Neurospora crassa OR74A: one gene and its partner. The protein of the gene in region 1 binds, or shares a complex with, the protein of each later gene. Links are inferred from orthologs where the notes say so. Each region holds a gene or a part of one and is shown in the gene's direction. Other genes may lie near its edges. The genes, in order: arp2 and NCU02781.

The links.
Region 2: arp2 (region 1) and NCU02781 share a complex: the UniProt entries of both Saccharomyces cerevisiae proteins name them as parts of the arp2/3 complex. The link is inferred for Neurospora crassa OR74A from reciprocal best matches to the Saccharomyces cerevisiae genes ARP2 and ARC40.

Annotation. Positions count from the first base shown.
Region 1 is NC_026505.1:6,351,590-6,367,777, reverse strand, and holds arp2 (actin-6), read left to right. Parts: upstream 1-7,610; 5' UTR 7,611-7,813; coding exon 7,814-7,838; intron 7,839-8,062; coding exon 8,063-8,494; intron 8,495-8,556; coding exon 8,557-9,287; 3' UTR 9,288-9,670; downstream 9,671-16,188. Other genes in the region: NCU07168 (hypothetical protein), read right to left, coding at 1-68, 516-765, 846-1,267; NCU07169 (MFS glucose transporter), read left to right, coding at 2,848-2,937, 2,992-4,473; NCU17050 (hypothetical protein), read left to right, coding at 5,306-5,572; NCU07170 (hydantoin racemase), read right to left, coding at 5,956-6,636, 6,701-6,811; stk-8 (serine/threonine-protein kinase prk1), read left to right, coding at 10,232-10,289, 10,363-11,978; NCU07173 (ADP-ribosylation factor 6), read right to left, coding at 13,849-14,003, 14,164-14,563. UniProt on the Saccharomyces cerevisiae protein: Functions as ATP-binding component of the Arp2/3 complex which is involved in regulation of actin polymerization and together with an activating nucleation-promoting factor (NPF) mediates the formation of branched actin networks.
Region 2 is NC_026501.1:9,209,966-9,225,950, reverse strand, and holds NCU02781 (hypothetical protein), read left to right. Parts: upstream 1-7,642; 5' UTR 7,643-7,866; coding exon 7,867-8,089; intron 8,090-8,172; coding exon 8,173-9,015; intron 9,016-9,082; coding exon 9,083-9,123; 3' UTR 9,124-9,414; downstream 9,415-15,985. Other genes in the region: gh47-1 (mannosyl-oligosaccharide 1,2-alpha-mannosidase), read right to left, coding at 1,392-2,935, 2,997-3,867; NCU02779 (hypothetical protein), read left to right, coding at 5,114-5,476, 5,561-5,794, 6,056-6,235; NCU02780 (U2 small nuclear ribonucleoprotein B), read right to left, coding at 6,414-6,725, 6,790-7,074; NCU02782 (hypothetical protein), read left to right, coding at 9,859-12,873; NCU02783 (general amino-acid permease GAP1), read left to right, coding at 14,314-14,728, 14,778-14,985, 15,045-15,254, 15,308-15,985. UniProt on the Saccharomyces cerevisiae protein: Functions as a component of the Arp2/3 complex which is involved in regulation of actin polymerization and together with an activating nucleation-promoting factor (NPF) mediates the formation of branched actin networks.

The DNA of each region.
Region 1 (16,188 bases):
TCCTTGAGCTTCAGGTCGGGGAAAGTGTCGATAACGTGATCAAGGGCGTGCTCATCGTTGGATAGCAGCTGATAGAGTAGATTGAGAAGGATCCCACGCAAACTTTTTTGATGCGGCGAACCGGCGGCCCAGAGGAAATGTGAAAGGATGAGTGGATCTTGGCCGTCAGCTTGCCTTTGGGGGTGCCAGAGAGCGGGATTGGTGACGATAAATTTTATGAGTGTGCTTTTTCCAGATCCAGCCTTGCCTTGGACCCAGTAGATTTTGTCATTTGGGGATTCCAGCCAACAAGGAAAACAACTCCACGAGAGGTTGTTCTGGTGGGTTGTGCGATGTGGGCAGACAGGTGTCAAGCTTTCTCCGTCGGGCTCACCCTGGATACTGTTTGATGCTGACTGAATACCCTGTATCATCCATCTACACGTCCCTGCGAAAGCCGGTTTGACCTGGCCAAAACGTTCACCCATAGTGTCATATTTGAGGCTCTTGACAAGTCGTTGTCGCTTTCCCCCTACGGAAGCTTCTAGGGACGTTTCCTTGATCATTGCCTGTGTCTTTTTGACTTCAGAGGCAATGACTGTGGTTGCAGCATTTTGCACCGTGAATTCGGCCTTGATTACCTCCACAATGGAACCATGGTTTGATGTCAAGAGGTCTTGGAGATTAGCCTGTCCTTGAGAAATAGCCTCTACAAAACATCGGAGGGTACTGTCGAGTTGTTGAAAACCATTATCCATTTTCAGTTGAAGCGCGTTGTTTTGGTTGCTGGTACATGATGATGATTTGGACAGTCAGCCGGCGCGAACAAATAATTGGATTTGTTGCAAGATTCATCATGGCCTTACCAGATACGCAGAAGAAGGCCGGACTCGAGCACCTTTTGGTAATCGCGCATTTTCTTCTCCAACTTGTCGATATTTCCTTCTTTGAACTTTGCCCGTAAACCCAATCGCAATGAGGGCAGGACTTTGCCTTTGGCAGAGGGACGGGTGAGCTTGTCGACCTGAACCCTGAGAGTAGAAATGGCGTCGAGGCATTTGTTTGCGATATCAAGCAGGTCCTTCTCATCCCGTGTGACTGGCTTTGCGGATAATATCGAATTTTTGAGGCTCGTGGTGATTTGGGCGGAATGGGCCAACAGTGTTGCCTTGCTGGGATCTGGGGAGCCGGTACGGAAGATGGTGTGGCATACGGATGCCATTTCTATAGCAAAGCCGATAGTTTGCATGACATTGCACGCGAGCCCGAAGGCCTCGAGGCCGGACATTTTTTTCGATGGCGGCGTGTTCTCAGAGACGAGATGCTAGACACCTGAACTTGGACTTGTGAGTAAGTGTTCCACCGTGGGAGGACATGGCGACGGGGCGCTCCACCTACCTATACATATGATAAACCCCGGCTGGCTGTATAGTAGGTGGATGTTGGCCAAGCAGGCTCCGGGCAGGCCTCCTGGTCGACCACCATGTTGGGCTGCAGCAGACTGGGCTGCAGTGTGGGAAGACATGCCGGGCACTTGCGCGCGCTGCTACCCAATGGCCTTGCATCTCGGGTGAAAGCATGTCCTCAGTGGCTCGGGGTTTCCAGAACTGAATTCGAGACTCGAGAGGGGTCGTGTCAGCTACTGTAGTTCTGAATGTCGTCTGTTGAAGCGAGCGCGCATGTGCTGTCACGATGGCGGTCATGGTGTGAGGCTTGAGGTGGAAAATGAAACATCAAACATGACGGATGCTGATTGATTTGGAGAAGCAAACCGAATGGAGACCGCACAATGGTCGACTTCAGTTGGGGGAAGAAGAGAAGCTTGAGCATATCGGAATGGAAGGTACAACTGAAGTCTGCCGTAGTAATATACCGTCCGTCCCTACTCCCGCCTTCCGCTCACCAAGTTCCTATCCCAAGTGGAAGTGAAAGGTCAATACTTACCTACCTACGTACCGTAGAAGTGGCCGGGAAACCAACTGAAACCGGACATGGACAGTCTAATTGGAAGGTACTTAGGTATCTGGCCCGAATTAGCCAAGAAACTGGAAGAAGGCTGTGGCTAGTATATTGTGATATGTAGAGAGGTCACAATAATCCGACAGCAGACGCTTGGATGTATATATATCGACTGTATCCGCCCGCGTGGTCATATAACGTGCGTCGAGGTACTAAACACATAGTGCTGGCTGTCTCTCTCCGTCGCATGTTAGGGCGTACAACGGTTTTGTACACATCCCCTAACAGGTACTTCCAAAAATAGCACCATATCAATGCTCCTTTCAGAGACCGGCGCCGACGATCCAGCTGAGTAGGGGCCGAAGTTTATAGAGGTAGGTACGTGCCTCCACTGTCAGTTTGGTACGAGTTATCTCGCTGCCCAAAAGAACAATTCCCCATTACAATTCCCGATTGTTCATTCTAGCATATCGAGTCCTCTCATCCATCATGTTGCAAAGTATTTGGCATTGGGCCATGTCTAAGCGGCTAGGAAAATTACCGAAAACAGTTCCTGATGCATACTTCAATTGTAAGCGCCAGGATCCCCAGCCCATTCCCCGCTGACTTGGCAGGCCCAACCCACAGCGGCGCGGGGACAGCAAGTCCCCTGTCATTTCCCATTCCAGCGACCTTCCGTTATTCCTTGTTGTCGACTTCCATCGTGAGACACGACGGAATCTCCAACATGACGGCAACACCATCATTCCACCATCTCCTCCATTGCACCAACCTACTAGACCTATCATCTCTTGAGATACCATGACCCTTCTCTAGTTGAGATTTCTACTCAAATTTGGAGTACTACCATTCAAGATTGGCCTCAAAGTCTTTACCGCGTTCCTCGTCGTGCGGGCCATCTTCAGAAACATGGCCGCCAACCTCCGCGACCTAACGATGTACCTGGTGGTGCTGATAATCGTCAGCACCCTCGGTCCTCTTCAGTTTGGTTTCCATTTGGTATGCGCCCCTTCCTTTCCAAGCCCGACATATCTCTACTAACAATCTTTCCAGGCAGAGTTAAACGCCCCCGAAGATGTCATCACCTGCCGCAAAACCTCCATCTCCTCGACCATCTCCAGCCTGCTGTCCTACGTCAAGAACTCCTCGAGCGATGTCGACTGCATCCCCATGACCCGACCCCAGTTTGCTACCGTCTCCGCCATCTTCACCATCGGCGGTCTCTTCGGCGCCCTGATGGCCGGGCCCTTCACCTCCTCTCGAGGCCGTTGGCTCTCCATGCAGCTGACAGCCGCCTTCTATATCGTCGGCTCCCTCATTGAGACCCTCTCCCACTCCGTCCCCGTGCTTTCGACAGGCCGTTTCCTGACCGGTGTCGGTGCCGGTGCCAGCACGGTCATTGTCCCCCTCTACATCAGCGAGATCGCGCCTCCTGCGCAGAGAGGATTATTTGGTGCTTTTACCCAAATCAGCATTAACCTCGGCATCTTGATCTCGCAAACCATGGGGTACTTCTTGAGTCACGATTCGGCCTGGAGGTGGATACTAGGATCTGGAGTGGTGGTGGCAGCTGCTCAGGGATTCGGACTGCTGTTGGCGCCAGAGAGCCCAAAGTGGACAGCGAGCGCCAGGGGCGATGTCGCGCAGGCGAGGAGGACACTTCAGCGCATCCGTGGCAAGAACGCTAATATCGACGAGGAAGTCGAGTCATGGGGCCAGGGAAGTGGGAGACCTACTAGCGAGGAGGAATCTCTCCTTCACAGTGTCGAGGACCGCATGGAGGGCCTGTCGCGCAGAGACACCTCCTCTCGCTCCAACTCTCCATCCCCTTCCACCTCTTCGCGTCCTCATCCCCACAAGGCCAGCAAACCCCATCTCGGTTTCGTGCAGGTTCTCAAGGATCCCAATACCCGTCCCGCCATCATTGCCGTGGTGGGCATCATGTTCGCCCAACAACTCTGCGGCATTAATTCCATCATCATGTACTCGGTCTCCCTCTTCCGCGACCTGCTCCCGCCTTCTTTTTCTTCGGGCCTCCTCACCATCTGCATCTCCATCATCAACCTAGGCACTACTACTGCCTGCTCGCCTCTGCCCGACAAGTTCGGCCGCAAGGCTTGTCTCTTGGCTTCTACCATTGGCCAGGGCGTGTCGTCTCTCGTCCTTGCTCTCTCCATCATGTTCGGCGTCAAGATCTTGTCCGCCATAGCGGCCCTGTTCTTTGTGGCTTTCTTCGCGGTCGGGCTGGGCCCAGTGCCCTTTATCCTGGCGAGCGAGCTGGTGGGTGAGGAGGCGGTGGGTGCTACGCAGTCTTGGGCGTTGGGTGCGAGTTATATTGCTACTTTCCTGGTGGCCTTTGGGTTCCCAGTGGTGAATGAGGCTCTGAACAGAATTTTGGGAGGCGCTGGATGGGTTTACTTTATCTTTGCAGGGCTGGCGGCGTTTTGGGCCTTGTTTATCGTGAGGATCGTGCCCGAGACCAAAGGGAAGGCGAACGCGGACGAGGTTTGGGGACGTACTAGGCGTGTGGACTGAGTGGTGAGTTGATAAGCTGGGCGTTTGTACTGTGCTTTTGCGTGTTGTTTTGGAGGACAGAGTTTCGTGCATTGCTCAGAGTATACTTAGGGATTTCTATAATACAACGGAAGTGAACTTCCCTTGTACAAGCAAGACAATATTACCACCTTCTATCTCAAATTACTATCAAGGCAATAACCAACCGCCAATCTGGCAATCGGTAAGCATTAAACTCGGCAACCGTAACCTCGGACGTCCGAACCAGCTTATGCAACTGCAGAAGTGAGCTTCGCTCGTGCGGAAAGAATGACTTGTCACAAGGATGAAAGCATGGAAACAGGGAACCTGACCCGGGCACTCCCAACAGGTACTTGAACCATCGTATCCCCGTCTCAAATTCTTCTCCCGGAAACCAAACTTTTTCTAGTACAACATTTCACTACTCAATACACTTATTCAAACCAAACCAAGCCGCCGCTCGTTGCCGTTCAACCAAACCATTGAAGTCGCCGCTCGTTGCCGTCAACCAAACCAAGCCGCCGCTCCAATCGTTGTCATTGTCAAACCAAGCGGTCGTCCTTTGTCGTTGAACCAAGAGGTATGCTTCTCGCTTGCTATTCTGCTCTCTACTTCGCCGTCTCCCCAACTCCTTTCTAATATAATGGTAGTAGGTTCCAAAATGACTACCCTCGCGACACACTGCACATGTACACTGGCGATCGAGTGCCCACTCGCCAGCGAATCTACAATCCCGGCTACGACCTGATTTGGCCTCAAACTTCTGCTCATCATTCCGGGCATCATTGTCTGGTTGGCCCTGAGTATCCTGAGATTTTGGGTCAGATCGGAGATGATATGGACGGCCATGCACGGTGAACGTTCGATAACGGAATTCCCGAACGCAAACAACAAAACTCGGCGGTATCAGCTCACAACATTTTGTTTGGTATTCTTGATATTCCTGATTGTTTGGCCGCTTGACATGGGATACTACATCATCACTTGGAAACCCGTTTCTGCATCACCCGACAAACCACTGCTGCTATCGAACACCCGCACAGCACCGGCAGAACAAGAACCACCACCGCCCTACTATAGTGCTATTGGTGTTGCATAAGGGGGGAGTTCATAGTGTACTAGACAAAATCTACTTCGAATAGTCCTAAAGGTTATATGGATAAATCAAAAGGAGTTAGTTGGATTTGCTTTGGCATTTTGAATGTTAGAGATGGCGTGCCCAAGGTTAGATTGTACATTAGTTAGCCATGAAAACGCATAGGAAAGTTGACACGAGGTCTCGAACTAACAGACCAACCAGTACTAGACTGTATGTATTGCATTCATGAATGAAGCCTTGAGAGAACAAACTATGATATACGATGTGACTTCTGCCCCGAGAGCTTGGAAAAAGGCAGGGGGCACTGCGACGAACTTGCGTACAAATCGCTCGAAAGGAAATCTCCAGCTTCAAAGCTAATTCCACTCCCTTTCCGTCCCTACCTACTGGGTAAACATTCTCCTATTTTTCACCATCTCATCCACCAGCCCAACTCCCGCTCTGACTCCATCAACAACCATGACCTTCTTCCCCCTTTCCTCGCCGTACTGCTCAATCGCAGTCCGGCGAATGATTTGCTCCAGTCCAGCCATGCCCGCACATCCCATCACCACACACTCCACATCCCCAGCCTGCAACAACTTCTTGGTCGCCTCGGCCAGTTTCGCATCAATCACCTCCTTGGAAATATCTCCATGGAAATCCCCCGCATCCAACCCCGTCGTCTGCACCCCGGCAAACTTTGCATTATTTCCCCCTTTCTCCTCTTGACCCAAGAATTTCTTGACTCCCACAGTCAGGTGCTCCTCCCAGTACTTGCCCGTCGTGACAATGCCCCATTTCTTCGTCGGGCCCGTGAGCAGCGACAGGCAAGTGAGGACGGATGCTTCAAAGATGCCCGTGACGGAGAGGGGAAAGCCGTTGGATGAAGCGAGTTCCGAGAGGCCGGGGACGAGTTGGTGCACGGAGTAGCAGCATACTAGGACGGCGTCGTGGTCTTTGAGGAGTTGAAGGTTGCTGCTGAGGTCTTGGAGGACGTGGGTGGCGGAGGTATCCAGGTCGGTGCCGTTGTTGATGCTGGCTGGACAAGAGGTAGGGGCTGTGTAGTAGGTGATTTTGATGTTCTGGAGGGGGGTGTTAGTCCACGTTTTCGGTTATTAGGGGTGGAGGAGAGAAGGGAAGACAGACGTCGGGGAGGTTTAGGCTGGAAATAGACTTTGCCATGCCATCGGTCATGGACTTGGAGGAGTTGGGGTTGAGGATCAGGATCCTGATTGGTTCTTGCTGGGCGGTAGTCATGTTGACGAAGGAAGGGGGGTGAGTGAGTGAGGTGAATCGATAAATGGTCTGAGAGGGAAATAGTCAGGTCTGAGTCCATTTTGGGAGGTATCATGAAGTACTCAGTTTGAAAGATTGACGATGGTAGAACCTGAATGGGAACAACCTACTAGTATCGTAATGAGTTGGTAAAATACCGATTGTATCGACGGCCTGAGTGAGAAAGAATAAGGCAACAAAGGGTCTGATAACCACAAATGAAGAATCAAAAAAAGAAGGGACGGGAAGAACCAATATCAATCTCCACTCTCAAATGCACAATCCATCCCGTCTGATCTCTCACGATGCCCAACAAGGTGCATGTACTACTGAAGGTACAAGTGCGAGTCTCATGCGGGGTATCACGTGGGTACCCTAATGCCTGCCACTTCCTTGGGGTCCAGAATCCTGCCAAGACCCGCTTGTCATCGGCGCTCGTCCTGGTCAAAATAATCGAGACCTTTGACATGATACCTTGGCTCCTTGGGTATACTGCTGACTCTCAAGTTCTAGGCAATTACAGAATGAAAATGTGTAAATAGGGCTCTAGCTGAGGTCTTTTTGAATTGTTATATTCCCTGTCACGGTCTTGCAGCGGTCTTTTCTATGATCTTGACGTCTAGTGAACTGGTTTACCTAGCCTGCTCGCTCGTCTCCTTTATTTTGGCTCAGACGAGCGGCGCCCTGTTTGAAGGAAAGCTTGGCAGTTAGCGAATGACCCCACATATCGATGCTACCCCCCCAGCTAGGCTACCGCGCTGGACTCCAGCTAATTACGGTGCCGTAGTCCACTTCGCTACCGTAACCCGGACAGGGCACCGACACCACTGCACCGACCGACCGACGGGACCACCGACACTTGGTTCCTGTTGATTCACCCGCGGGAGCTTTCCATTCTAGCTCCGATATACACTCGATATTCGAAACCCCGACGAAGCTATTCGCAACTCCATTGAAAGTTACCAAACCAAACAGCCGCCCAGCATGGCCAACACCGACGCTCCCATTGGTACGTCAGCTCTTCTCTCCGCCAACAACCCCTTATCCATCTGGTGTCTCGAGCTCAAGCTACCTTGACGACCACCAACACCACCACCACCCACCCATCTGCCTGACCGCGTCATCACCGTCGCCATGGCAGCTGTAGCCGTCGGACTCCGTCCTCAATCACTTCCACTTCACAACAACAAAATGAGCACAGCGCCCAGCTAACACTTCCCCCCTCGAACACAGTCCTCGATGGCGGTACCGGCTTCCTCAAGGTCGGCTACGCCGCCCAGAATTTCCCCGAATTCCAATACCCCTCGATAGTCGGCCGCCCCATTCTCCGCGCCGAAGAAGCCAAATCGCTTTCCGACTCCTCCGACATTGTGATCAAAGACATCATGTGCGGTGACGAGGCCGCGGCCGCCCGTACCATGCTCCAAATCAGCTACCCGATGGAGAACGGCATCGTCAAGAAGTGGGACGACATGCAGCACCTATGGGACTACACTTTTCACGAGAAGATGAAGGTCGATACGCGGGGAAGAAAGATCTTGTTGACGGAGCCGCCTTTGAACCCGTTGAAGAACAGGGAGCAGATGACCGAAGTCATGTTTGAGCGCTACGACTTTGGGGGTGTCTATGTCGCTATCCAGGCGGTGCTGGCATTGTATGCTCAGGGTATGTCACCGCTCCTTTACACGGCGACTTGAGGAAACAAGTAGCTGACAGACAACGCGCAGGTCTCTCCTCTGGTGTCGTAGTCGACTCGGGCGACGGTGTCACGCATATCGTTCCTGTCTACGAATCCGTGGTCCTCAACCACCTTACCCGCCGCCTCGATGTGGCCGGCCGCGACGTCACCCGCAACCTGATCGCCCTCCTTCTCCGCCGCGGCTACGCCCTCAACCGTACTGCCGACTTCGAGACCGTCCGCCAGATCAAGGAAAAGCTCTGCTACGTCTCGTACGACCTCGAGCTCGACAAGCGCCTGTCCGAAGATACCACCGTCCTCGTCGAGAGCTACACCCTTCCCGACGGCCGCGTCATCCGCGTCGGCTCCGAGCGGTTCGAGGCCCCCGAGTGCTTGTTCCAGCCGCACTTGGTGGATTGCGACCAGCCGGGTATCGCCGAATTCCTCTTCAACACCATCCAGGCCGCCGATGTTGACGTGCGCTCCTCGCTATTCAAGGCGATCGTCCTGTCGGGTGGTTCCAGCATGTACCCCGGCCTTCCAAGCAGACTGGAGAAGGAACTGAAGCAGCTGTGGTTGACGCGCGTGCTGGGAGGCAACCCCGAGAGGCTGAGCAAGTTCAAGGTCAGGATCGAGGACCCGCCGAGAAGAAGGCATATGGTCTTCTTGGGTGGTGCGGTGCTGGCGAATATCATGGCGGATAAGGAGAGCATGTGGATTACGAAGCAGGAGTGGGAAGAACAGGGCGCGAGGGTGTTGGAGAAGTTGGGTCCTAGGTAAGGGACTACCGAGGGTGAAGCTGTTTAGACTACAATAGCAGGCGATATAATGTTTTCCGTTGGTAGGTAAATAAAGGATAATGCGAGAGTTTGTTAGAGCTTGCTTGGGCTGGTGTAATTTTGTTGGTCCCGACAGGAGAAATCGAACAATGGCCTTGTGTCAAGAGTCATGGTCTTTTGGGATACCATGAAAGAAGTCCCCAATATCACAACGGCGCCAACATCAAGCAAGATGCGGACAGCGGAACGGGACGGTCCCGGACAAACATCGGGAAGACGGAAAGGTGAAATGGTCCACCCCCACTTGTTGGACATCGATACGGTACGCTAAGGCTGGCGGCGATACAGTGGCTTATCAGAGCTGACACACTAACAGAAGCAAACATCATCAGATCTCTGCTAGCCTGACATGTCGCTGGTGACGAAAAGGGTAATTGATGTTATTGTTTTCCTTCGTGTGTCACTTTGTTCTTGCCTTTGCGACAACAATATCAATCCAGCTCGTCGTCAAAATCCCCAGACCTGTCGTGTTCCCAGATCCTCACCGGCCATCTTTACTCGATTTCTCCAAACTCTCAAGCCCGGCTTCCATCGCCCAGCTACCGGCCACGCTAACACACCGTCTCCGCTCATCCATTCCCGAGTCTCACAGTGGTTTTCCCCCCGGGCCCGTGCAGATCGGGTACGGCTCAGATGACATGCCTCCGAAACCGAAATGTGAGTCGATGAACTTGATCCAATTCCTTCATTCAAAACATCATCCAGCCCTCCCAGCATGATCCCTTCAGTGTGTATCTTGTGCCCGGTTATATAGTTTATTTTCTCCAAATTCCCGAGAGCATCTTCAAACACAAAACAGACGGGCGGTGACTGCCCAGCCTCTCACTACCAAGTCACTACCTTGCATACACCAACCTCACTCTTATAAACATACAATCACCCCCCATGATGTACGGCACAAATAGAGCGAGAAACCAAAAGGCCGAAACCAGCTACCGCGGGTGTCAGTATCGCCTTTCCCCCCATTCATCTCTCATATCCTAGTCCAGTCCGACACTAACCGCCCTCAGTCTCAGACCAGCGTAGCAATGCCGGCCCCCTAAACTACCAAACCAAGGTCCGCATTACCGACCGCTACAAAGTCATCGGCTTCATCTCCTCCGGTACCTATGGCCGGGTCTACAAAGCCACCGGCCGACAAGGCCAAACCGGGGAATTCGCCATCAAAAAGTTCAAGCCCGACAAGGAAGGTGAAGCCGTCGTCAACTACACGGGCATCTCTCAGTCGGCGGTGCGTGAGATGGCGTTATGCTCCGAACTGCGAAACCACGCCAACGTTATCCGGCTCATCGAGATTATCCTGGAGGACAAGTGCATCTTCATGGTATTCGAGTACGCAGAGCACGATTTGTTGCAGATCATCCACCATCACACGCAAACGCCACGACATCCGATCGCGCCAGGGACCATCAAGTCGATAATGTACCAGCTGTTGCAGGGGGTGCAATACTTACACACCAACTGGGTATTACATCGAGACTTGAAGCCGGCGAACATCATGGTTACTTCTTCCGGAGAAGTGAAGATTGGCGATCTCGGACTGGCCAGGGTTTTCAAGCAGCCCATCCACAACCTCTACATGGGCGATAAAGTGGTCGTGACTATATGGTATCGCGCGCCCGAGCTGCTGTTGGGGAGCAAGCATTACACGACAGCTATCGACCTGTGGGCGGTGGGATGCATCTTTGCGGAGCTGCTGAGTCTTCGGCCCATCTTTAAGGGGGAGGAGGCCAAGATGGATAGCAAGAAGACGGTGCCGTTTCAGAAACATCAGATGCAGAAGATTGTGGACGTAATGGGCCTGCCGACGAGGGAGCGGTGGCCCTTGTTAGCCAGCATGCCCGAGTATAGCCAGTTGTCGACTTTACAGCCGCCCTTGCTGTCGACCAACACCTCCCACTCCCACGGCGGCGGCCACCACCCCTACGGCCATCGCTCCCAGCAACAACCGCCCGCGTCGCAAAACACGCACGGAAACCTCCAGAAATGGTACCACCAAACCACCGTCTCCACCCCTCTGACCTCGCTAGGAGCAGAAGGCTACAAACTCCTCGCCTCCCTCCTCGAATACGACCCCGAGAAACGCTTGACGGCCGCCGACGCCCTCGTCCACCCCTTCTTCACCTCGCCCACCTCGACCCCGCTGGCTTCTCTCAATAGCAACACGGCCAATAGCACTTCTCAAGGAACAGGAGCAGCAGCAGTCAACTGGTCACCAACCAACTGCTTCGAAGGACTCAAAAACGAGACGTACCCGTGCAGACGCGTGTCGCAGGACGACAACGATATCGGCTTCGGCACCGGAACAGGCAACCAGAGTGGGTCGCGGGTGAACACGGCTGCGGCCGGGACGGGGACGGGGCTGGTGATGGGACAAGCGCAGTCGCAGGTTCAGGCTATGGGAGGTTCGTTGGGGAATATCGGCGGACATGGACACGGACACGGACACGGACAGATGGGCGGCGGCGGGATGGGCCAAGGGATGGGAGGGTTGGGTCAAGGACATGGGGGGATGGCGCAAATGGCGGGGATGAAAAGGATGCATGATGCTGCTGCTGCTGCTGCTGCGGCGGCGGCGGCGGCGGTGCAGCAGAGTCATCCGAATAAGAGGATGAAAGGGTCACAGGGATAGGGATACGGTCTTGGTATTGAAAGACGCGGACGAAATCCCACGCAACGCCTTGAGGGACAGCAGGGACAGCAGCAGCCAAACAAGCCGGGAATGAGCTCGCGGCTTCGAGGATAGCTGAACGGCGTCATGGAAGGCAAGCCGGATGGTCAGTAGCCATTTGGACTGATTGACCGAGCCTGAGAACGTTTGGCGGACAGAGACTGGGGCGGAATCGAGTTATACAGTGGACGTACCTGTCCAACCCACATTCCTCATCACTTGGCTCGATTCCTGGGTACCAGTCTACCACCATCTGACCACCCAGGAACAGGACAGACCTTGCATCAACAATAGCTCCAATAAACAGTACAACTGCAGCGGCTTCACCACGAGTTCGCAAGCTCGAAATTGCGCCGCAAATGGTCCCACTACAAAAACAGGTCCAGCAACTACGACAAATCACACAGGAAGCACTGCGAATTCACAACGAGCGACGCAAGATCCCCCCCCTCTGACAGCGAAACAGTGCCTGGTTCAAGCGCAGCATCTCCATAACCTACAGCGCCTTGCGTCGGAGATGAACAAGCTAGCGGTAGCTGTGTTTCATCCCGAGCACTTGAAACTGCTGCAAGCACACGACGACGGCGCACAAACACATGGACAGCATCATCCGTTAGAACCATTGGATGATCTTGAATAGCATGCCTTGGAGGGTGCTAGATTCGCCGCCGGAACTTGTCCGGGTTTGTTTGGAGTTGCTGGGGTCACTGAGCAGGAGATCCTGAAAGGGGAGGACATGGACGTGTGAGGATGGTTACATGCTTGGGGGGTTGATTGTGTAGATGAAGCGAGGGAGACTAAAATGTAGGTACCTACCTGACATCGATGCGATCAGGACTTGATGAATATGAGAACAGCGTGGACTAGAAGAACATGGGAGGGAATACGAGAACAGGAGTCACGATAGAACCGGCGGGTATCGACATATAGCGTACAAATATACCTCTAGACATCATGAATCCACTTTACAAAATCACACTCGAAGCACACAGATCTCTTGGACCATGATGAATACGTACCAACAACTCTCTTTCTCTCTTCATACAACTAACTACCAACGCAGCTCGCTATAAAACAAAAAAAGTTAGGTATAAAAAAAGGAAGAAGAAAAAGCAAGTTACCCGGGTATCCTATGATGCCTCCACCACCAATATGTCTCTCTCTGTCTCTATCTCTGCCTTTCTACCTCTCTTTTGTATTCAGCTCCAACCAACCAAGGTAGCTGTTACTGTCCCCTCCCCTCCCCCTAGCTTCCCTCTCTGTGCTAACCAAACAAAAAGGATGTCAAAAGCCACGCGCCAAATAACAACAACAACGACAACACAAATCAGGTGACTAGGGTAAATTACGGATTATTTTCGTTGTCCTTTATGCTTCTTCCTCCTCTCTTTCTTCCTCCACCCAGCCAAGCCAAGTCCTTCTGTTCGTTGCGTACCCCGAGCCGAGGCTTGGACATCTCCCGTTTTCGTTAGAACAAAAAGCATTTCTTGGGATGTGTCATGACCAACTTCCTCTCCCTTCTTCCATTTCTTTCTTTCTTTCTGGCCTGGGCCGTCGCTATAGAGTCAGGGCTTTCGGTCTGATTGGGGGTATCGGTTTTCTTGCGATCTTGTCTCGAAGCGAGGTTGTCATTATCCATCTACGGGACTGAAGCTTGGAAGTAACGGACGGGGAAGCCTTCCGGCCGACCGAGCAAGCCAGCTAGCCAGCTAGAGTAATTAGACAGCCGGCCGGCCGGCCAACCAGTCAGATCCCATACGTCGACACCGAGCGGGCGGCCCTCCCTGTGTGTGTTTTATTGATGTCGAAATCGATCGAGGTTAGAAATCGATCACTGCTTCTGGGCAGCCTTCATGTTATCGGACAGCCAGTTGAAGCCCTCCTGCAGACCGGCCTTGTCTATCGCAATGGTGGGTTGTACGGCGTAGATGCGGTCCTTGAGCTTGTTGAGCTGGAGCTTCTCGGTGACTTCCTGGGGAGTCATGGCTGTAGAATGTCTGGTTAGCATAGGTTCATCCATACCCCTCAGGCTTTTGTCCCAAAAACCCCAGTTCGAGCGCAGCGAGCAAAGAAAAAGAGAGCCGAGCGCAGCGGACACCTCGTCGAAAATACAATTCCAAGGGAAGAAGAAGAAGGGAGTACTCACCACCAGCAATATCCTGCTTGTTAGCAAACACCAACAACAAGCAATCCTTCATCTCGCGATCATTGATAATCCGATGCAACTCCACCCGCGCCTCGTCGATTCTGTTATGGTCCGCGCTGTCCACCACGAAAATCAGACCCTGGGTACCCGAGTAGTAATGGCGCCAGAGGGGACGGATCTTGTCCTGGCCGCCGACGTCCCAGATGTTGAACTTGATGTTTCGGAGGGTGACCGTCTCGACGTTGAAGCCAACCGTGGGGATGGTGGTGACGTGGTCTTGCAGCTTGAGCTTGTACAGGATGGTGGTCTTGCCGGCGGCGTCGAGACCGAGCATGAGCACACGGACTTCTTTGGTGCCGAAGAGCTTGGCCATGAAGCCGAGGGACATGACGTTGCCCATTTTGGCGGTGGTCTGAAGGGAGAGGTTGTGGATGTGTGTGAGAGTGGTGGTGGTGGTGGTGGTGGGTGGTTGCGAGTTCGACCGGAGTGGTGTGGTTTAGGTGTCTATGGACGACACGACAAGTTCAATCGGATCGCGACAAAGGAGTGTGGTGGTGGAAGGGACTGATGATGAGTTGTCGACTGGCGATGGGCAGGAAGCGGAACTAAGGAGCGGACTGGAGAGAAACATGTGTTAGTCTGGCTTGTTAGAGGTTGGGGCGTGGTAGCGCACGTAGACTACTGGACTGGAGGTAGTGGTAGGTAATGTAATATGGGCGAGACAGTTGAGGGAACAGTGGGGAGACCGATGAGGTTTCAAGATGGCGACCGGCCATGGTGTAGCGAAACCATCAATTACCAGCCTAGTAGCCTGGGGAAGTGAAGACAGACAAACGAACGTACCTGGGGTATCGTGTTGGTGATTACAATTGGATTAGGCGCAAAGGGGTGTATGTAATGGTGATAGTAGCGTATGTCGTCTGGCGTCTGGCGTCTGATGCTTCTTCACGTGTGAGAGATGCCGTCGTTGTCGTCGCAAACAGCGCGGGTAGGTAGGTAAGGTGTAGGTAGCGGGCTGTGTATCGCTCGGTAGTAGTAGAGTAGTTCACGACAGGCAAGGAGCAGATTAATTAAAAGCAGGTGGTGCCGTGGGCCGTGGAGTGGGTGAAACCTGGCGGAGATGTAGACGATCAGGCTTGTTGATCCAATGTCGGGCAGTCAGACGGACTGAGGGGAGGGAGTGGGAGAGAAGGGAATGGAGACGGAGACACGACAGTCGGCAGTCAGTCAACAGGGCCAAGCCACAACAGTGAGATGGAAACAGAAGATGGAAGCGCAAAAGTTCATCAGTCAGTCAGTCAGTCAGTCAGGAGGACGGAGCTCAGGAGGGAGGAGGGGAGGGGAGGGGAGGGGAATTGGGAGATTTGATGAAGCCAGGCCAGGCCAGGCATCGGAGAGAAAGTCCTCGTCTCTGTCGCTCAGCACGGTACTGCGTGTTTGGCTTGTCTGGTCGCTAATCCCAGAAGGGAACAGGGCCCTTCTTCCGTGTCGAGGATATTTCCCCCATTTCCTTGATGCCCCTGAGGAAGGAGCCAATCAGCGGCCAGATCGGGAATTGCCATTTCCTGCTGCAGCGGGGTCCGTGCTTCCCTCCAGCGAGCCAGGCGTGGCACGACCAGGGAGGGGCCTGTAGTTTAGTGGTCTGCAGTGGGCACTGGCGGGATCCACCGGGAAATTCAAAATGATGATGACGGGAAGCGATGCGATGCTGAGAATTGATTGCCGTGACCTTTCCGGCAATCAGACTCCCCCATTCCCCCAAATGAACCCAGCAACTTATCTCCGGCAGCTGGGTCAAGACAACTGAACAACCACCATGGATGGATAGAATGGGAAGATATGGGATATTTATAGGCAAGAATAATACCAATGGATATATACCTACCTAATCCCCTTGTTACCTACCTACCTATTCGGGCTTCCATCTGTTCTTGTAGGGCAATCCGCCGATATGCCTTCGGCGGCCTCTGCCGAAAAAGGTAGTGTAGACCTCGCTTCGCTCCACGATGAGGTTTGCGGGACTGG
Region 2 (15,985 bases), on another chromosome or scaffold:
ATATCCAGGCAGTTACCTAAATCATCCACTGTGTTCATGTAACCATTCAGTAGAGCAAAATAAGACCACACCAGTTTCACAGTCCTTATACAAGAGTACTGTCTATTAACTCTATCAAAGATGATTAAAATAATCAATTCATATCATCTGACCTATGGTAGTATCTACTTTACACTTTTTTTTTCCCCCATAAATAATGAAAATTGCGAGGTCCCATGGTAAGTAGCCCACCAGAGCTTTAAGTACCTATCTTGTCTTTAGCTTTTCCTTTGACAAGTCTAGGTAGGTATTGTCTGTCAGTTATTACCTACCTATGTACCTACCTACGCACTATGGTATTGCTTTTCAAGCAGCCAGCCAGTTTATTTACCTACCTACCTACCTACCTACCTTACTTATATCATATATTCTTAGGTAGGTACTTCTTTCTTAGGTAAGGTAGTTAGTGAGTAGTTATTTACGAAGCAAGCACGCGAGGAAACAAGCACGCGAGGAAACAAACAAACAAACATCATCCTTCGCATTACAATAACCTACTACCTCTACCTAGACTACCTAGACTAAGGTACCTAGCTAGGGTAACGGTGGTTTTACTTACTTACTTACTTACTTACTTTTTTCATTTGTGTACCTATCTATCTATCTATCAATGTATGAAGAGAGAGAGAGAGCCGACTGACAAGAAGTAGTATACTTCAACTTTTTTTTCTCAATTTCAATTTTTCAAGTTTTTTTTATCTTTATTCTAGAGAGCTAAAAAAAAAAAAAAAAAAAAAAAAAAAAAAAAAAAGAAAAAGGCAGATGGACACAGAGGGACAGATAGACAGATAGATACCTTACCTAGCCAGATAGGTAGATAAAATAGACTATACCTAGCGAGCAGCTGTGACGGAACTTGGAAACTTACATAGATACCTAAGTCCCAATGGTATTCGTGAAGGAAGAAGGTCCTGCCACTATAAAGCCCGGGCCGCGCGTACGTGTCTGAGGAGCGGGAGATGATGGAGTTATATAGGTACCTAACTACCTAGTGATGTAGATATCATAGGTAGCATTTCACGCATCTCCAATTCCTTCAGTGCTCATTCGTGTCTTTTCACTCTCGTTCCAGTTTTGAGACCCATCTATTTTGGGTGCCGTCACCAGCTAAAGCTATGTACATTGAACACACCCACACACAACCAACTCACTCATCCACTCTCATCCACTCATTATCAAACTACCTATTACATGGAAAAAAGTGTATATATGCATACATACATAACTTTGACGTTCTTTATGGATACTTTGCCCCCATCACATCTGGGCATGTTCCATTTTCTCTCTTTCTTCCCTTTTTGGTTCCCCTACGCTACGCTACCAACTTTCCACATTCTCATCTCTTCCATAACTCACGCACTCTTTGTCTCCCCTGTCGTCGTCGTCGTCGTCGTCCTCGGCTTCCTCTCCCACCCAGTCTTCAACAACCTCCCCACCTCAAAGACCGGCAACGGGTGCGCCTCGGTATTGAACACGACCTTGTCCAGCGGCAACAGATCCTCCGGACTGAACAACAAATAAAAGTACTTGAGCGTCTCCGCCATCCAGAAGCTCTCCATGTTATCCTTGATCACAGGCGGTATGACATTTGCATTCGACAAGCTCGTAAATCCGCCGCCATCTTCGACAGCAGTGTAGTTGACAAACGACTTGAACATGTCCCACCCCCACTCGCGGTACTTGACGTCGCCCGTGATGCGGTACATGTAGAAGAGGGACTCGACCGTTTCGGGCCGTTGGAGGTTATGCGCGTCCATTTGATGGACTTCATAGTCCTTGCGCCAGGTCGCATCAGGGCCGGCGGGGTCATCGAAAATGGAATCTGGTGGGCTGGTGTGCGAGGAGGACTCTGGCAAGGGGTCCGAGGGGATCTTAAAGTAGGTGATTTCCGCGGCGAGGCCCGTCGCCATGTACCGGTACATGCCCCAGCACGTCTGCATCAGCTCGCGGGCAAGCTTCATGTCGGCCTCACGCTGCTTGTTCCAGAAGCCGGGCTTCTTGCGGGCTTCGCGCTCCGAGAGGCCTTCGGTGGCGGCGAGCGCAATGGTTCCCGGGAGGAAGCAGACGAGGTGGTCCATCTTGGGAGACAAGTTGCCCTCGAGACCCGAGGGACGTTCGCCGACAATGGTGAACCCGCTGTTCTCAGTGTAGGTGACTAGGTGCTTGCGGATGCCCTGGAGAGCGTCGTTCCACATGTCTTGGTAGATGGGTTCGGCCTTGTGGGTTTGCAGGTACTGCTTGATCAGGTATTCGTAGTAGGAATCGCCGCGCGAGCCGAGCCGGATGTTTTGGGTATGAAAGTGGCCGGTGCTGGGCTGGATGAAGATGGGCACGAGGCCATCGGGGGCTTGGTTGTCGTCTATCACTTTCATGACCTTTTCGGAGCGGTCCCAAAAGTCCTTTTCGCCTGTTAGGTTGGCGAGGTACTTGAATTCGAGCTGGAGGGTGGTGGCTTCGGCGGTGGAAGAGGCACCCATGTCGGCGTGCGAGGGCAGGCCCTGGAATTTACCGAGGTTGACGCTCGCGTAGGGAATGCCAGAGGGCGTGTCGAAGGCGGACATGAGGCGGTCGGCGAGGTCGCGGGCCTTTTCGAGGTAGAGGTCCTCGCCGGGGGCGCCCACATCGTCATCGGAGATGGGCGCTAGGTTCGGGTACTCGGTGCTGAGGTAGTAAGCCGACAAAAGACCGCCCATCATGCGGATGGTCGTCTCAAAGGTGTTGACATCTTGATCCTGGTCCCAGGTCAACGACTTGGAGATCCACTCGCGAGCATGAGTAACCCGCGAGGTCAAGTTCATGATCATCAAGGTGTCTAACGAATCGATAATGATCCAACCCAAACCCTTGGGGGCCATATTGCGGCCCGTCTTGGACACGGGGTGAAACTCGTCATAACCTAGTCACACAAGTTAGCCTTAACCGATAATCACAACACCAACCCTTCTTCAGAAACATACCCCAGGCATATCTCTCATAAGCATCCCAGCTCAGCTCCATAGCCTCAACAACCCTCTCCCTCCTCTTCAACCAATCCGCCTTACTCCTCGCCTTGGTATCCGAGCTCAACCACCCCCAATCGCCCAGCTTCGCCCTGGCTCGTTCATGATGCTCATCAAAGAAGCCCGTAAACCACAACAGCCCCAGCACCACCAAGGTAAATAACCCCAACACCCTCTTTTTCCTCAACAGTGGCCTAGGTCTCGCTCCTCCGGGGCCGTACCCATACGGCTTATCCTTGTACATGGGTAATGACCTTCGATCCGGGTTTAGGAATCCTCCCACTTTATCTTGTACTCCCCCTAGCACTCCTCCTGCTCCTGCTGATGGCCCTGCCCGTTGGCGGGTCGCAGCAGCCCACAGTCGATCTTCAGCTTGGCGCGCCGGGTCCGTAAACGACGGGACGTGTCGTGGGATGGAAAAAGAGGCCATGTCCCCTGGATCTTCGTATTCTTCTTCTACTTCTGTGTCTTCCTCGTCGTATGTCTCTTCCGCAGCAGCAGGAGCAGCAGCTGGCAGTAAGGTGCCCTGCTCTAAATCCGCCTGTGACTGTGACTGTGACTGGCTCTGAAAGGCAGTGTGGTCAAGCGCCCTCTCGACTTCCTTTGCGGCGGCTTCGACGGCGTCGCGGGTGCGTTCAGCGGCCTGCTCAGCGAATTCGGCGGCTTTGGCAGCGGTCTCGACAGCCTGCTGGGCGGCTTTCTCGGCACGGTCGCGGAACTCGGTGGCGGCAGTGGTGGCGGTTGCGCGGAGGATGTTGATGGCGGCAATGGTACCGGGGCGGTTGAGGGAGAGGTTGTGGAGGTTGAATGGATCGCGGACGCGGTTCATTGAGGAGGAGGAGGTGCCCTGGAGGGGAACTGAACCGTTGGCGCTATAGAGGTACCTAGTTGGGGCAGTTTCATTGGGGGACGGCAATGTCTTGGTAGGTGTGGTGCTGTTAGTGCACTTTGGGCCTTGAATAGGTAGGTAGGTGGTGCTGGATTGAGACAATGGATTATTAGAGGTAGGTTGGAATCACCACAGTAATGTAGACAGACGTATTAGTTGGTCATTAGGTAAGTACGTAAAGATAGGTAGGTAGAGGTATGGATTAAGCAAGAGCTGGCAATTGTATAAATTCCATGGAATAGATGGAAGGTAGGTATTCACACGCAAAAGGGAGCAGCCGTCTCTCAAATTAAAGGCCCTTCTTGGATTTCCCCCCAACTTTGTATTTCCCAAATTTGAGCGGTCAAGCTGCACAAGGAAGGAGAACTGCGGCGTGGACCTGGCATGGAGCTGTGCTTCCATCCCTTCGTTCCATCACATCCGGCCGCTCTTACTTCCACTTCTGGAAGTGCCTGACATGTGTTTGCACATGTGTACCTACCTACCTACATAGGGGTTGTATATTTATAACCTGCCAACGGTCAGATGTACGTACACCAGCCGGATGCAGAAGTTGTGGTGATTGCTTTCATATTAGCCCCGAGATAACGAGAATCATGCAAGAAACCAAGAACCTTGCTGACCTCTTACACTAACTACGCAGTACACAGTACAAGTACACGACGCCAAAAAGGACAGCTTGAGCTTGGACGCGTCAAGTTCCCTTGCGACAGTTGTGGGGCCCCGCTGTTTGTACAAGTCTTACAGGGGGCCAGATTCGCCAGGGTTACGAGTGTGGTGATCTGTCAGGGTTGGGTCTGTCATTAATTACTCCCGGCGGTCTCGCAAACTTCCATCTCTAGGTAATGGTTGGCGTTTATGTATTGAGGTATTGTGGAATGCATGGAGGGTATATTTTTCATGCATATGATCATAAATGAAGAACATGTGAACAACCACAATACCTCTAACTTTGAGTTACGACCCCTTCCTTATCTTATCACCCTCTCCCGTCCGTCTCGTCCCGCTCACTAACACCGTCCCGCCCGGCCGTGACAATCCAGTTCCACATGCGGTAACATCGATATGTATGTCCCAATTTCTCCCCCATCCCATCCTTCACCACTGCACCACTCAGCAGACCGCCCACCGTCTCACCATATCACAACCACACACCTCACCATTACCGAAAACACTCTTGATCAAAATGTACTCCCTGGAAATCCAAAACTACCCCCACCTCACCCCCTCCGAGTTCGCCGAGGCCGCCCACCACCTCGACCGGCGCTACAGCCAAGCGACCCTCGGCCCGCTCCGGCGCCAATGGAAGCTGCGCGTGCGCTCGGCGCTCAACACCCACTTTGTCTCTCCTTCGGATCCCGAATACAGCACTTTTATCCAAATCACGAGACCGCTCGAGGTCAATCTGGATGATGATGGCTTATCCGAGTTTTTGGATAATTTGTGTTTTTCTGAGGGGCCAGCAGCGGTAAGGGGGGATGAGCGGGAGGGGGAGGGTGTGGTTGGTGTGAGTGAGGGGATGGAGGTTGAGGATGATGATGATGATGAGGTATGTTTTCTTAATAAAAACAGTGGGTTGAAGGGGGGGTGGGTGTGGAATGCTGATAATATGTGGTTTACTGGGGGAGAAAAGGCCATGGTTTTGCCTTCTAAACATCAACAACAGCAAAAGACAAGTTATGGCTACGTCACATACGAAATACACCTTCACCCGACATATCAAGCGCCTTGTCTGTGGTTTTCACTAAACGGACTGCCGGCGGATGAACCAGCCTTCAACATCGACACCGTCTTTCGACGTCTTGTACCCGATCAGTTCAAAGATGGACTTCGCCGCGCGGGTTCCGTGGGTGGTATCTCAGCTGATGTAAGTTTTCTCTTCTCTTCTCTTCTCATCTCATCTCGTTCTTTGTATTTGTGTCTTGCGATTTGGGTGGGTTCAATCTTCTCGCTGTTGAAACACCAAAAAGTTAACTAGGGCTGAACTCCTTTTTCTCGCTCTTTGTGACTTTGTTGTGAAACATAAAGATATGAGAAGGACAAAAAGAGAGAGAAAGAGAAAAAAAAAAGGTGCCTATACTAACACACGAATGTCCCTTCTTTTGAATTATTTCGGCCATACAAACAGTATCATCCCATCACAGGCCTTCCCACCTTCTTCGTCCACCCTTGTCTCCTCGGCGAGGCCATGTCGACCTTTGACAATGTCTCGATCGAGAACTACCTGATGGTTTGGCTTGGACTCGTCGGCGGCTGTGTCAGCCTTTGGGTCCCCAAGGAAATGGCCTTGGAGCCTTCCTCCGCCTAGAGGAAGTGGGAGTAGCGCGGTGTATGTTGTACATGCAGCTAGCGGTGCGTCTTCTGCATTGTCCTTCGAGAGGGCGAATTTTTCATCCATCCGCTTCATTGCGCCTTCATTTTTCGTCATCCTTCCCCACCGCGAGCTGGTATCTTAAACAAGAAGCAAATGCCATAGTGGACACCCATCAGTCCTCGTCGCTGTCTTCCTCCATAGCAACGTCCGAATCGCTCTCCTCCTCTTCTTCCTCCTCCTCCCGTGGCCGCTTCGTTCCCCGGTTCTCCTCTGCCGGTGTGGTTGTCTCCGTCCCGGGAGGCTTGGCTGGCGAACCTTGTGGTGCTGGACTCTCGGTATTCGTAGTAGGGGCGCCTGGTACTGGGGCACTAAAGATACTCTGTTGGACGGTGGTGAGGGCCACGGCGGCGGCGGCCTTGGGTGGCACGAGAGTACCGTCGAGTTTGGCGATGATGTTGGAGCGGCCCTTGGCGTAGGTGATTTTCTAGGCAAACCCAAGTTAGCATGTGAAGGGCTACCGCTGAAATATTCAACCCGAGAAGACCTACCATTTTGCGGCCCAAAAACTCCATGCCGTCAAGTGACCTCATGGCCTGTGTTGCTGTCTGAATGTCCCGGTAGACAATGTGTGCTTGCCCGCGCATCTTCATGGTCTTGAGAGCGACGACATCGAGGACGGGGCCGTAGGTGGAGAAGAGCATGTATAGTGCTGTACGGAGGTCGTCCTTCTGGATCTTAGCTGAGGGGAGGTTCGTGACGTAGAGAGTCTGGTTTGGCGGGTTCGAGACCACCTTTTGGGGGAGGCCCGCGGGGGGAGCAATACGCGTAGCCATTGCCGCGTAGGAATCCGGGAGTTGATGCTGTTGTTGTTTGTCCAATGCAGGTTGTTAATTGTCGCGTAGATTTTCAGTATATCGTAGGCGCCTCGTGGTAGGGGTTAATATCGTCAATTGTCTCGTCGTCGTCGTCGTCGTCGCTCGGGTGTATGATGTTCAGTGTTCAATCATGAATTCAAGTCGCGGCGGCGCATGCGATGTCGACAATTCAGATGCTGGTCCAAAAATTGGAGACAGTGGCCAGCCAGCCTACGAACCATCGAAATCGGTACACAAACCCCACGGGCGTGGGTGCAGCTTGTTGGAGGTACTGCGGTTGCGAGCAAAAGTAAAACCCCCTTGTCAGGTATCTTGCACGGACCACCACAGCCAGAGCTTCGTGAGCACTGTGTGGTCGACGACCTGATCCACGGGTTTAACTTACCCATCTCACCATAGTAGGTTCCAGTTCCAGGTGGGTCAGCCCCGGCCGGCAGCAGGGCACTCTTGGCGGCGTCACCCACCCGCAGCCAACCCCACCACCATACGCTGCCGCAACGGTGCCCCTGGAGCCTGGCGGTCTGACCTCATTTCAGGCGTCCAGCCCGCTGTAGTTACGGAGCTCTCCCGCTTCCCGTTCCCGGGCACAGCTTCCCCTTTCCAATTACAACATCCGGCTCCGACACCACCGAACCAAGACATTCGATCACACTCTCCGTCATCACCGTCCCCGATTCCGAGCGCGGTAGTAGAGAGCTATACTCCTATCGCATACCTTATTTCTACACAACACCAACCTAACAACCCACAATGGCTGCTCCCGAGGTCCACCATCTCTTCCACCACCCCATCGCCGACCACTCCTTCTCGGCCGATCGCCAGACCTTGGCCATTGCCCGCGACACCCAGGTCGAGCTCTACGGCAGAGTCGGCAATGCCTTCAAGCTCAAGGATGAGCTCAAGGGCCATGACAAGCTTGTCACCAGCGTCGACATTGCTCCCAACACCGGGCGTATTGTGACCTGCTCTCAGGGTAGGCCCCCCCTTTCGCAACCCAGGCACCCCATAATGCCACCATCACAGTCAGCTAGACTAACAACCAACCCCAACTCACAGACCGCAACGCCCTCGTCTGGGAACCCTCCCCCACCGGCTACAAGCCCACCCTCGTGCTCCTCCGTATTTCCCGCGCCGCCACCTTCGTCCGCTGGTCTCCCTCGGAAGCCAAGTTCGCCGTCGGCTCCGGCGACCGCGTCATCGCCATCTGCTACTTTGAGGAGGAAAACGACTGGTGGGTATCCAAGCACCTGAAGAAGCCGATCCGATCCACCATCACCTCTGTCGCCTGGCACCCCAACAGCGTTCTTCTTGCTGCCGGCTCCACCGACGCCCACGCCCGCGTCTTTTCCGCCTTCATCAAGGGCACCGACCAGCGCCCCGAGCCGAGCCCCTGGGGCGAGAGATTGCCTTTCAACACGGTCTGCGGCGAGTTCCTGAACAACTCTGCCGGATGGGTGCATTCTGTTGCCTTCAGCCCGAGCGGCGACGCTCTGGCGTTTGCGGCGCATGACTCCTCCATCACCGTCGTCTACCCCTCTGCGCCCGAGCAGCCGCCCAAGGCGGTGATCAGCATCAACACGCAGCTTTTGCCCTTTATGAGCCTCTTCTGGAACGGAGAGACTGAGATCATTGCTGCGGGTTACGATTGCGAGGCTTTCCGCTTCCAAGGCGGCGAGCAGGGGTGGCAGCTGGCCGGCACGCTGGAGAAGGCCAAGGCCGGAGGAAGACCGGGTCTTGGTGACGAGGACAGAGAGGAGTCTGCGCTGAACATGTTCAAGCAGATGGACCTGAAGGGTAAGGTCAGCAAGGATGATACCATGTTGAAGACGGTGCATCAGAATACGGTTACTATGTTGAGGCCCTTTGAGGAGAGTGGTGGACGGGTGACCAAGTTTAGTTGTGAGTGTTCCCCATTTTTACATGACCTGTGGTTTCAAGAATTATTGATGCTAACTTGACACAACAGCGAGCGGTGTTGACGGCAGAGTCGTCATCTGGCACACCTAGATTTCCCCTCGATGAAAGAGGGTTGCTGCACACATTGGGAAGCAGAAAAGCCAAGCAAGCAAGCGTAACATCTAATGTTAATGGAACAAGAGTGAATGGCTGATAATGAATCAGATTCAAAGTCAAGATCCATCAATGTCAGTTTAGCGGGTAACTTTCCCGGTCTTTGATTTCTGCCCTATCCGTGCTTCCCGGTATCCGCCAAAGTGATTGATTGTCCATTCACCCATTGTACAGAGACTTATCATGTCACTTCTCCACAGTGAGCTATCCGTTTGTCATGACCGCCCGGCCAATTTTGCAAGATATGTATGTGTGAATCAGACACACAGTCAAGAACAAATACAGGTTCAATACATACAAAGCAATTCATTGACTTCCGCTTGTGGCTTGCCGGACACATTCCGATTTGCCGTGATAACTTCCATAAAAGGATCATAAGAGAACTAATAACCGGCAGCAGGAGAAGTGCATGTCACAATTCATGTCCATACCTACCATTGTTTTGTCCCTGTCGATTATTTATTCCATATCCTTTCGCTCCTCATCCAGACCTTCAGCTTCAAAAGCAGTTTACCATAAGTAATCAGCCGTCCGTCACTCCGTCCCTTTCAGCTATCCAAACAAACTCAACTTACCTCGCTTTGCCTCCATCTTCCCTGCCTGCCTACTTCGTTGTCTGGTTAGAAGAAGAAACAGCGGGATCAGAAGAACCAAACAACAACAAACTGAACCATGGACCACAACAGTTCCTACGACTACTACCCATTCAACCACCCCCAACACCCTCTGTACTTTAACCCCGTATCTCCTGTTCATGTTCCTCCTCCTCCTCCTCCTCCTCCTGGTCATCCAGAACCAGAGGAACAAAAAGACTACCACCACTACGCTCCCGCATCACCAAGCGACTTTATTTACAACGCCAACTCCTCTGTCAACACCACCACCGCCGCTAGCATCCTTCATCATCATCATCATCGGCATCCTTCCCGCTCTTCTCGATCTTTATTCTCCAACGAGCCAGTACTCGCCTATCCACCTCGGACAGTGGGGTCTAGGTCTGTTGAGCAATCATTTTCGAATTACTTACCTGGGGTACTGGAACCAAGTCTACCACGACCAGCACCAGGTTTCGAGGAGCATCGACGCCAGCGGCAATCAACGATGATGACCATGGGGCCGGGACCAAGTAAATCGGTACCTTCTCCACTGTCACTGCCCCTCAGTAGGGAAGGAGGAAGAAGTGGTAGGAGGAGGATGAGCGGGTTCAGTTCCGGTGAGGAGACAGTGGTGGTGATTAAGCGGGAGGAGGAGGAGGAGGAGTCGGTTCCTTGGGTGTCGATACCGTTAGAGCAGAGGGTGAAGAGGTGGGTGCCGCGGGTGCCACAGGGAGAACAGGGAGAACAGATGAAGCAGGTGGAAGAAGATGCGGTGGGAGGTGTGGTGGGAGGTGTGGTGGGATACGTGCCCCTAGGGACGGAGGAGAGTGGGGTCAGTGGTAGTAAGACTTGGGAGGAAAGGGGGGAAGGGGTGGTAATGGAGAGGGTTATGATGGTGCCGTCGGTGGTGTCTAGCGTTGGTGCCAATGCCGGTGTGGAAATGGTGGCAGGGATGATGGGTACGGCGATGGGAATGGGAATGGAACCAACAATAACGCCAAAGATGGGCCTGTTCAAACCCATCAGGTGGGATGGACCGTCTTCTGCTTCGAGGGCTAAGGCTAAGGCAAGGAGGGTACGTGCCTGGGAAACCATGGAAGAACAACATGGTGATGTTCATCTTCGACGGACTCCTCCTGGAATTCAGAATCGAAGCAGCAACAGAGACCGAAACGACGAAACCGAAGACGAAAAAGTTTCCGACGCCCCCATCTCTCCCCATTCTCGCTCCCCAAAGAGATTCAAGACCTCCTCCTCCCATTCAGGATACATCCTTCGTCCAGGTCCATGTCCAGCAGAAACAAAAACAGACACAGAAATAAAGCAAGAACCAAGCCTCTCACCTCCACCATCCGCCGTTTTGGCTCAGATTCCCATGTTTGATTCCTTCGATTCCCTTCCACGCAACAACAGTGGCTATGAATCCTCCGGTCATGACGACAATTCCCTTTCTTTGCGAAGTATCAGCCCTTTGACTCGGGTCCCGACACCTCATCGTGTGCTGTTCACTACTACTACTACTCCGAACCGGATCATGACTGGAACTGGAACCAGAGAAACGACCCAGCCTTCATTGAGGGCGGTGAGTAAGCAGCTGAAGAAGAGGAATCGGGAGATGGCGCTGGGTCAAGGTCACGGGCGGGAGGATAATCGAGAACGGAGTCGTGAACCAAGAAAGAAACGAAGAGAGGAGGGGGCGTGTTGGGGTTTACCTGGCGGTAGTCAGAGACAGACTCCAGCTCAGGGTGCTAACTCTGCTGCTCAGCAAAAACAACAACAACAACAACAACAACAACAACATCGAGAATCTTCCGAAGGGAGAGAACAAGGCTGGACAACCATCTCGGGCAGCAGTGAAGAAGGGGAAGCAAGCAGTCATTACGAAAACAGTTACAGTTATAGCTTTGGTCAACAGGAGAGGGATAGGGATGCCGCTGCTGCATCAAGTACGTCTAATCCCCTTTCTTATACCGATCAGGAAGAAGAATGGTGTCGCCCTTTTTCTTTCTCATCGTCGTCATCGTCGGCCGCACCCGTCTCTTTTGAGACCTCAGCGAGATATGATCATGATTATGAATCCGCTCCTCCGTCACTGTCGGCCTCGCAGGAGAGAAGAAGAACAGAAGAAGAAGGATACCGCCAAGCGATACAAATGGCGCAAGACACTTGTCTTGAGGCTAGCAAGAGGTATATCAGGGCTCATTGCGCGAATAGGGGGGCTCGCGGGGGTGGTAGTCCTGACACTAGTCCTGCTCCCCGCCAAACTGTCTCGACACGGTCGGCCCGCAAGGCAAGAAGGAAGCGTAAGCTGGAAACCCGTCAGGCCTCTTCCTTTTCCTCCTCTTTCTCATCCTCCTCACCTTCAACTTCACCAGAGGCACCAGCACCTTCACGGCAGCGACGCAAAGGTAAAGGTAAAAGCAAACGACAAAACCGAACCAAGAACCGAACCACCACAACCTCTCCTCCCTCCTCTTTTAACTCACCCCATCACCAGTCCCCACCTCCCCCAGACATCCAAATAAGAAATTCCCTCCTCCCCAACATCTCCCAAATCTGCACCCTCCTCTGGTCGCGCTCGCAGTCTCTCCGACTGCACGACACCGACAGCATCGAGTTGCATACCGCGCGCAACATGTACTGGCTTTTATCGTGGGCGGAAACCGTCGCTTTTGCCGTTGTTCCACCTACTCTCGCTTCCATTTCTACTTCCACTTCTTTTACTGCCTTTACCGTCCCAGACTCAAAGTCAGACCCAGATCCATTCGATTCAACTACGACCATATCAGTCGGTTCGTCGGTCCCCGGTTTCGATGGTTGTTCTTCTTCTTCTTCTGCTGCTTTGCGGCAGAGGAAAAGGGAGTGGGACAGGGAGTGGGAATGGGAGGGTTTTGGGGAGGGGGTGAGTGAGGAGGGGGATAAGGCTGAAGAAGGGTTGGAGAGCAAAAACGGGAGAGCGGTTTGGGAACAGCAACGGATAGAAGAAATGATAAAGAGGGTGTTTGACGAGGGAGGCATGCTTTGTGAGTTTCTGGGGTATGGGGAGGGGGTGGAGAGGTTGGGTAGGGTTAGGGAGTTTTGTGGGGTTTGACGGAATACATTCGTGGACTTGGGTTTGGTTCCTACCTACCTAGAATTGGTGACCTTTTGGGTAAGTACCTAGTATTTCTAGGTCAAGGATGGGATTTGGATCTTGAGCATTGGATAGACGAAGTTTTTGAGATACATGTCAAAAGATCATCGATGTGGTAAATGAAGATAGCCTGATGAGCATGTGTACTTCCCTTCGGGGCATGGTCCACAACGTGGTTGCCTCGTGGTTTGTTTGGTTCCTGGTGAGAAAAAGGAAATATGTCTCGTGCTGTTATTTGACAGCTTCTTCTGCTGTATTAATCGTCTGTCTGGCTCTTGGGTAAACCTTCATGGGCCTGGTGGGCTTGGCATGTGTGACCCTGGTTGACACTTTTTGAAGCGACAAGTGTGGGTGTTGCTGTACATATCTTGATACATAGGTACCCTTTAGTAATGACGGTAAGGAATCGATAAGGTAGCCGGGAAGAGCGGGAATAATCAAAGTGGAAACCCTAAGGGACGGATATCGAATAGAGAAAAAACCAAAAACAAAAAAGGGGGCGCGCATTATCACAGACTGGAAATTGGGATGGTCCACAAAGTATCCAATATTGCCATGATAACCTCAACCTAACTGAGGAAGAGCTGAAAAAAGATGACCCCACTGGAGGTGGAGCCCACACGATAACCCCACAACCCCACGGCGGGTAGTCGAACGCTAAGAGCGCTGCCCTGAAGTAGGTGGACCTGTCCGGGGCATGGTTGGCGGGATCCCGGGCCTCCATTGTTACAGTGGATGTGGTTTCCCCCAGAATTCCCGTCCCAGGCAGGGCAATCCCCCGGAAGGATGGGAAAATGTTGTGTTCAGTTGGTTGCTCTTATTTTTCAAGATGGTATCATCTTCGACCCCCCTTCCTTGGACCTTCCAGTCTTTGTCACCAATGAGAGACGGACTCGCTCACCGATCACTCGCATTCCCATTCATATGTCCGCCCATGTTACATCCCAGAATCGACCCCACGGACCGTCACCCAACAGCCCTGAGGCCGCCCGGGGGGGGGGGGGGGGAATGATAAGCACTTCTCTTCCTGTTGTGGCACTGGCCACGGCTATGTGCTGCAGTAGTGTAGTAGTATCAGGTAGTGTAAGCTTAGCTGACATTCGATGACTGCCCCTGCCTCTTTTTTTTCTCTTTTTTTATTTTTTTTTATCTATCTTTACATTTTCCTCCTTTCTCACTCAGATATCATCCAAGTTGAATTACTAAACACATCAACAAGGACTGTCACGCGACCACACTCCACTCACCGAATCCTCCATCTCACCCGGCGACGATAGGACGAACGGCTGTGATAGGGACGCGATGATATTGGGCGCGTATCTGGTGAGAGGATGAGACCTTTACAAACCGACCAGTCGCCTCTCAACCGACAATAACCACAACGACAACGACGGAAGCATGAAACCCAAAAAGCGAGACAGCATGCCTAGCGACATAGAAATGGCCGCTTACGGCAGCAGAGGTGGAGATTCCTTCGGCCAGGGAAGTTCATGGAGTTTCCGGGAACCCTTCGCAGTCGGCCGCGTCCCGACATGGGCACGCGCTCGCCATCGCCAAGAACCGAGGTTGCGAACATTCCTCGACTCGTTCAAACGGGACCCCGTCCGCCGGATATCAACCCATGGCATCTATGCCCAGAGTCATCCTGATCAATACCAAGCAGCCGACTCCTCGGATGAACCTCCGACCGAACAGAATCATGGAAGCCACTACTTTGACCTGCACGCCGCCAACGTCAGGACGGCAAACACGGGTCTGGCCCGAGAGCTCAAGGGGAGACACTTGCAGATGATTGCCATTGGGGGTTCAGTTGGTATGTCTTGTACAACACCTTACCTGAAGACATGACTGACCAACATCAGGTTCCGGTTTGTTCGTGGCCTCGGGCAAGTGTCTCTACCTAGGAGGTCCGGCCTCGCTCATCATTGCATATGGCTTTGTGGGTGTCATGCTTTGGTGTACTATTCAAGCTCTTGGAGAACTGGCCGTTGCTTTCCCCGTTGCCGGTTCCTTCTCGTCATACTCTACAAGATTCCTTGATCCAGCATGGGGGTTTGCCATGGGGTGGAAGTAAGACACTGACCCCTGAACTTTGATGATATATCGAACCCGACTAACCTCACCCCCAGTTATGCCCTCCAGTGGTTGACAGTCCTGCCACTCGAACTCATAGCAGCTTCCATCACCATCGGCTACTGGAACGACCAACTCAACAAAGCCATCTTCATCACCATCTTCCTAGCAACCGTCATCATCATCAACCTCTTCGGCGTCAAAGGCTACGGTGAAGCCGAATTCGTCTTTTCCATTGTCAAAATCGCCGCCGTCACCGGTTTCATGTACGTACATCCCCTTCCTTTATCCTCTCCAAAACTCTCCCTAACGATACCAGCATCCTCGCCGCAGTCATCAACATCGGCGGCTTCGACGACCCCCAAGGCAACACCGGCTACATTGGCGGGCGGTACTGGACCAACCCCGGCGCTTTTCACCACGGTTTCAAAGGTCTCTGCTCCGTCTTTGTCTCTGCCGCCTTCGCCTTTACAGGTACCGAGCTGGTCGGGCTCGCCGCCGCTGAGACCGCCAACCCGCGTAAATCCCTGCCGACAGCCATCAAACAAGTCTTTTGGCGCATCACCCTCTTCTACATTGTCTCTCTCACCCTCGTCGGCCTCATCGTCCCTTACAACCACGAGCGCCTCCTGGGAAACATCCAGCACTACTCCGTCTCCGACGCCTCGTACTCGCCCTTCGTTATAGCCATCGAGTCGGCCTCCATCCAAGTGCTGCCGGGAATTATGAACGCCGTCATCCTCATCGCCGTACTCAGCGTAGGCAACTCCGCCGTCTTCGGTAGTTCCCGCACCTTAGCAGCCCTGGCCGACCAGCGTCAAGCGCCCCAAATCCTCGCCTACGTCGACCGCAAGGGTCGACCCCTCTTCGCCATCCTTTTTGCTGCCCTCGTCGGCCTGATCGGCTACCTAGCCGACCTGAAATTTCAATCCGACGTGCTAAACTGGCTGCTCGCCGTCTCGGGCCTTTCGTCCATCTTCACCTGGGGCTCCATCTG